Coturnix japonica: one gene and its partner. The main gene of each other region encodes a partner of the protein of the gene in region 2 in a complex. Links are inferred from orthologs where the notes say so. Each region holds a gene or a part of one and is shown on either strand. Other genes may lie near its edges.

What was found.
Region 1: the proteins of INTU (region 2) and WDPCP are in contact, whole or in part, in a cryo-EM structure (PDB 7Q3E), measured with the Mus musculus proteins. The link is inferred for Coturnix japonica from reciprocal best matches to the Homo sapiens genes INTU and WDPCP. Residues at the interface, in NP_780724.3 of Mus musculus: Val481, Gln484, Val488, Asp491, Ser495, Asp496, Glu498, Ala499, Ala500, Asp501, Ser506, Glu507, Asp508, Arg513, Arg514, Thr517, Ser532, His533, Leu534, Pro535, His574, Tyr593, Glu610, Gly613, Cys614, Ala615, Ser616, Lys617, Ser653, Pro654; in NP_663400.2 of Mus musculus: Phe3, Cys4, Leu5, Ile24, Leu51, Ser54, Arg55, Asp56, Lys93, Leu385, Ala386, Glu387, Asp388, Tyr389, Ile427, Lys446, Leu447, Gly448, Ile449, Leu450, Thr451, Arg452, Gly453, Leu455, Leu462, Gln463, Ile465, His466, Tyr467, Gln487.

Annotation. Positions count from the first base shown.
Region 1 is NC_029518.1:1,963,561-1,967,834, forward strand, and holds the start of WDPCP (WD repeat-containing and planar cell polarity effector protein fritz homolog), read left to right. Parts: upstream 1-1,474; 5' UTR 1,475-1,672; coding exon 1,673-1,753; intron 1,754-1,759; exon of another isoform or gene 1,760-2,096; intron 2,097-2,265; coding exon 2,266-2,354; intron 2,355-4,274. Other genes in the region: MDH1 (malate dehydrogenase, cytoplasmic), read right to left, coding at 1,298-1,423. UniProt on the Homo sapiens protein: Probable effector of the planar cell polarity signaling pathway which regulates the septin cytoskeleton in both ciliogenesis and collective cell movements.
Region 2 is NC_029519.1:30,260,566-30,262,857, forward strand, and holds part of INTU (protein inturned), read left to right. Parts: coding exon 1-168; intron 169-2,129; coding exon 2,130-2,284; intron 2,285-2,292. UniProt on the Homo sapiens protein: Plays a key role in ciliogenesis and embryonic development.

The DNA.
Region 1 (4,274 bases), on a different chromosome or scaffold from region 2:
CTACATGGCAAAACAGATCAGGAAGTTACGAAGTTTAGTTAAAGAGTGATGTTAACCCATTATCTACCAGATGTAGGAATAAGAAAAATCTGTTGTCTGCTTACACAAGTGATGACCTTTGGATTACTAATTAAAGTTATAAAAGACCAGAATAAGCATTATTGCAGCTAAACTCGGCTGTTTGCCAAGTTGCCATCTTTGTTATTCTTGACCAACCAAGCAATCCCACCATGCCTGAGAATACTTAGTAGACAGCCTAACTAGATGCAGTGCCCTCAGAAGCTTGGAGCCTATGAATTAAGGCCAGGCTGGATGTGGCTCTGGGCAGCCTGGTCTGCTGGTTGGTGACCCTGCACACAGTAGGGGGTTGAAACTGGCTGATCATTGTGGTCCTTTTCAACCTAAGCCATTCTGTGATCCTATGAAACCCTCCCCTTGCTCCTCCAAAGGAACAGGGAGGCACTGACAGCAGATGTATCTGGGAACGTGGCAGACAGCATCAGCAGGAGGGGCAGAACTCCAAGGGGATTCTTTCCTTCAGCAGTGACCTTCAGGCTGGTGCCCCTGTTAACTTTTTCCATGTCATCCAGCTAACTGCAGTTGCATCAATAGACACAAGATTCTGTTTCAGAAGTTTAATGCTAATAGCAAATACATAGACAGAATGCTGGGGGGGGGGGGGATTGTAAGCAATGATGTTCCAATGAGTCTGAGCATTCAAGTACAGCTTTAAAGCAGCAGATCCATGGCAAGCAGTTTGGAAAGCTCACATGCGAAATGAAGTGCTCTGTTTTGTGGTGGCTCTTGAGAGTCCACGTCTCGAATAGAAACGAGAGTTGAGAAGCAGAATTGATGAGGTTTGGGGTGTTTTTTTTTTTTTTTTTTTTTTTTTTTGAAAAGCGTTGGAAAAAGTCATTTTTGGGGCACAGAAACACTTTTAATGCATATAGAAAAGTACTGGAAGTAAAGATTTGAGTAGCAGAGCGCGGAGGCCGCCTGTTACAGAGACAAGCGAGGGGTGCGAGCGGTGACCCCAACGACCTGGCCGCCCTTATAGCGAGCAGAGGTGCCGCCCCGCCCCGGCCCTGCGCCGTTTCTCCCTCAGGTCTCAGGCAGAGCCGCACGACGGGCCTGGACCCCAGCAAGGTCACCCCGCTGCCCCAGCGCCTTTATACGGCCCCAGGTACGGCGGGAAGGGCTCCGCCGCCATTTCGAGATCGCCTCCGACCGACGGAGCCCCGAGCACCGGCCCCTCCCCAGCCACCTCCCGCAGCCCCGAGCGTTGAACGGTACCGACCATGGCTGGGAGCGGCGGGCCGAGCTGCTGCCTCGAGGTCACCTCTACGGCTCGACTGCAACCGCCGCCGGCGTAGCGCTGAGGTACCGTGCAGGGGGCGGGGCGCGGCGCGGCGCGCAGCTGCATGGGAACTGTAGTTGCGAGTCACCCCGCCATGCGTTGTTGAGGGGGGCGGCCGAACTACAAGTCCCAGAGTGCCTCGGGGCACGCACGCTATTGGCGCCGTTGTCCGGCCGATTCATTGAACGCGTTCGCCTATAGAGCCGCCAGGGGGCGGTGAGCGGCTCTGCGATCTGCGCATGCGCTCCTGGAAGGCGGTTAGGCCTGGTGTTTTGCTTGCGCATGCGTTGAGCTCGAGAGCCGCGGGCCGTGCGCATGCGCGCCAGGGGAGCAGGCAGCAGCGGCTGGAGGGGAAGGAAGGACGGGACATCGCGCGTGGCTGCTGCGCGTGCGCAGGTAGCGGCGCTTCGGCCCCCGCCATGCCGCCCTGTGCTGCGGCCTTTGGGCGCTGCTCGGCACGCTGCTCGGGCCCGCCATCCCCGTCCTGCTCTCTGTGCTGCTGACACGCTACTCTGGTTGTGCCAGAACTCAGAGCCGGCCTGTGCTGTTGTGGGGCTGAGCTCTGTCAGCCCGAGCCTGCAGCCAGCTGCTGCCATAGCCACAGCAGGGTTGTTTCCTTCCTCAGGCCGGGACGAGGTTCTCACAGAACAAACCCTGTAATTGCACTCAGCCTGTAGGCTCACGTGCCCTGACATCTTTCAGCAGGATTAGTTGTTAATCCTGTTTTAGCCCCTTACAGGTGATTGTTTTAACACCTTGGGCAGCACGTAGACTGACTTATATTAGTCCTCAGAAATCAGTTACTCCTTTGGGGCAGTGATGTTAAGCGTAAACGTGAGCACACAGCACACAACGTGTTTGCAGTGTTTGCAGCCTTGTTGCTAATCGTCCTCATGCCACAATTCCAGGCTTCCCGTGCTTTGATCGAGACCGACCCTCTGACAGCTCTTGAAGTAGCTCCTGAAGCACTGAAAACAGCAGTCTCAGGGTTGAACAGGTATCGTTGTGCTGAGTTTGTTTTCAGTCTCATACTGCTCAATGCTGATCTGTACTGCTTAACAGCCATACACTCGTGCTGTGAATGCACATTGGACCTAAGTTTTAGGTCTCGGGTTCAATTTCAAAGCTAAATAGCCATGAATGAAAGCAGAGTCTGCCTTGTTGTGAGAGGTGCCTCATCAGTGCCAGGAAGCATGATGTCCAGACAGACCGTTCCAGAATATCCTTTACACCAGTAACTCTGACCTTTTTTGCATCCATGCATCATACAGACTTAATGAAGGTTATTTAAGATCTGTGTTTACCCAGGAGCTGATGTGGGCCCACGTGAGATGATTTTCACTAAGCATTATCAGTTGTCTTGGAGTTGATTGCATATCGGTTTTCAGTGAAATCAATATAAGCGTGTTATAAACTGATTTGTCTGCCAGCATAGCAGGTTATATTGGTTAAATGTATTTCAGTTAAGCTAGTTGCTGTTTCTTCTGTAGGTAAAGCTCTGTTTTCATTCTCCATCCTTTTCTGCCCAAGCTTGTGCTCCTTGGTTTACTGCTGGAGATAACATACCTAATATTGAAACTGATCTGTAATGAGTGTTTGTCAGTTTGTTTTAAATATGCTCCTGGTGTAATTAGTGACAGATAGAATAACACTGTTTTAAGTCTGCCCTGCCTTTTGTGATGTTTTAACTGAAGACAGCATTGAGGTTTTTCAAGTCAGCAAAACTTCATAACTCTGCAGTTCTTTTTTTTATTGGCTTAAATGGTGTTTCTCTTTGTTAGAGTATTTTTTGTCTTCCAAGCAAAATGTAACTGTACGAAACTAAACAAGGGAAATGAGAGATGCTTTCTTTTCTCCATCTCTTTTTTTTACATCTCTTTTCTGATGTTTATTAGCTTTTAAAATATATCTTCTGCTTCTGAGTGGAAACTCTTCTGGTGTTCTTGGCAGCATGTGCTGGTCCTCAGTTGTATTCCTCATGCTGTTAAATCATGTCACTGTTTTCAGATAGCTGGTGCTGCAGGGATCTATGAACAACATGCACTGTTTGAGTTTCTGCATTCTCAATCTGTGCTCTCTTTTGTCCTCAAGACGTGTGCTGTATTTGTTATATTTGCTGACATATTTGCTTTCACGCCTTCTCAGAGTAACAGAGAAATTCTTTCTAAATTTAATGCTGTTTTTCTTGTCAATTTTTTTTTCACAGTCTTCAGATTTCCTTGTGGGATTTTTCTTTATTGTCTCAGAATATTCTTGCTGCTTTTACATCTCCTGTTGCCATTATTTCCGAGACAGTGAGATGTTGGTGTCATTTTCTAACATTCTTTAGTGCACCTCACGTGTTTTATTAGTGTATGTCTTTTGTGTAGGGCTGTAAGCCAAAGAGCTGCAGAAGTGGAAACAAATTAAGTGCAAAAGAAGTAATGAACCTTCAGTGTGCAATGCAGATCAGGCATTCAGCTAGTTGTTGAAATGCAATTTACAGATGTTGCACTCAGTAGAAACAAGTAACATAGAAATTGTTGTAATTAAACAACACAATTAATACTCAAGCTGTTTTGATCTCTGTCTTGTGATGATTAAGTATTACTTTTCAAGGCATCTAGTAGTTCAATAGCCTACTCTACCAGAATAATTCCCGTTTTCTGTTGTTGAGGGGTTTTTTTCTCCTAAATTCTAAGTTAAAATGAATGATTCTCTTAATAGTTGGCAGTGTTCTGTAACTATACTTTGGATCAGCTTTTCTTCACTGCTATCTATAGAAATTGCTGAATTATTTTTGGTAAGATTTTACACCCAATTTCCAATGATTTGTGGAGGTAATACAGTTTTTCTAACGCTTGCTTACAGAAAATGTATCTAAAGCAAAAGTAATTCTTGAAATATTTAAGAACTTGTAAAAAAAAAAATAAAAATT
Region 2 (2,292 bases):
ACCCTGTTCCACTATCTGTCTTTGGAAACAATGCATGGGATCTTTATAACCCCAACTCACAAGGAAGTCGCACGGCTCGGGGGCTCCATCCACCCTCAGTTAATTGAGAATTTCCATCGCTGCTGTCTGTCAATTCGTTCAGTTTTTCAGCAGTGCATGATGAAAGATGTAAGCTTTGTCTTCAGTTTTTCTCTCTATTTACATTCTCAATTTATTATTTCAATATTGTTTTCAGTTTTTTGTTTAAAAAGTTCACTGGCAGGCAGTTCTTTATGTTGTTGTTTAAAAGCACTGGACTCCTTTACTGCTATAGGTAGATTTTCTCTCTAAACATCCAACCATGTATGTGTATAACTACAGTTCAACCTGCCATGCCCTCAGAATAAATACTTGGTGAATTCAGTATGGTATTTTATTTTTCTGTTTGATTTTAGAGCTCTGTAACTCAGCACAAAATTCTCACACATTGGGTTGAAGTATAGGAAGTAGCAAGAGAAGGCTGTTGGATTCTTTTAGTCATATTAATCCTATAAGGAAATTTCAGACTGTAGGAAAAAGTAAATGGATGCCCTCTCTTTGCACAGAAAATGGTTGATATGAGCAGTGCCAGTGCTCCCCTTGCTGCCCTGACAGCGTGTCTGAGCACTGACCTGAAGAGAGCCTCTCTGAAGCTGAGGGAATGTTTGTTCTCAGCGCCTTTGTTCTCTGGGCTACCTGAGATTGCTTATACATTTGCCACCCACCAATGTCTCTGATAGTTTTCTCACACTGATATCTGTTTAGAACCTGGCTGGTTATAATGATCAATTCTTTTTAATTATGTTACCAAATAATCTCTTGGATTTCAGATTATGTGGGATGGCACAACAAGTGAGTTTTTTTCTCTTTAGAAAAAGTTTAAGCCTTGCTTGAACTCAAGACTGTACACGAGTCAGATTTTCTTAGATCCTTAAGTGATGGTCCAAGTGCATTAAATGAGAAATGCGAAAGAACAGTACAAATTGAATGAATGCCATTTGCAAGTATCAGTATTATTTTTCTCTGTGTTTTCTTGAAGTTACTGAAGAAGTTCTTTTTGGTTAGACTGATGTACCTCATAAATATTTCTTTTCTTTCTTCTTCTTTAAGTGTTAGGAAAAGCAGGTTAATTTGGAGGATTATTCTGTTAACGACATAAGATTCTGAGGTTTGGCTGAATAAGACATTGACAGTGGGTCTTCTGTTCTGGGCACTTTGGCAGGAGATCTGGAAACCCGAAAGCAAGCAGAGAGAATACACAAATATTTCCTCTGATCAAATTGCCTTTGGTTAAGTTTGTAGTTCAAACTAAAGATACCTGAGTAAACAAACCATTCAACTACTAAGTGTAGTTTGTAAAAAGTGAAGAATGTCTACTTAAAAGTGATAACTTCTGTTTTGGCAACAGCTGTATCCGCACATGGTTTTCTGGGTTTTTCAGGTGCGTGTCTTTATCATAAGCAGCAGCTGGGTTCATTGTGCCCTGAAAGTCAAAAATAATTGAACATGTGCTGCAGAACAAAGTTTCTTTTAGAGGAAAATCTGAGAAACCTATGGAAGCCAGCTTGTTAACTAAGAGTATTTTGACCACAGAAATCCAGGGTGGTTTTTCTTAGTTGGCTTCAACAGTTGATGCTGTAATTGCCGGGTTGTATTAGGGCATAAGGAGAATGTAAAAGAATGAATAGAACTTCTTTTGTGTTCATAGAACTCGACAAAAAGAAAAATAAAAGGCAAAAAATGTGCTATTGTACTGTTAATTCAAAGGAAGAGATGGGAGCTGTAGCTTTTTTAGCATACTTTGTTGTTAATGAAGCTGTTTTATCTCAGATGTCTTATTAAAGAGAATGCGGTTTGGATAGACCAAAAAAAAGCAAAAGAAGGGGGGCGCTTCTAAATGGTGTAACAGTATTAAAAATCCTGTTGATACTGAAGTAACAAAACTGAAGAAAAGAATCTCCTAAGCAAAATAGTTCTATCTTCTGTCTGGCTTATTGACAGCAATGTCATTCAGCAGCTTCCTGAAGGACGCATGCTAAAATTACATGTACTGACGTTTACATTAAAAAAATATATCTATCTGTACCAACACTTCCTCAACTGTTTTACAGAAAAAGAAGAAAGCGGGCAGTAAGATCTCAGAATTTAACAGTACGGATGAAGACTTAGGTCCTGTAAGAGAACATGGAGTTTTGTTTGAGTGCTCTCCCAAGAACTGGAATGATCAGAAGAAACCACCACCGACAATGAGTTACTGGGTTGTGGGGTGAGTTT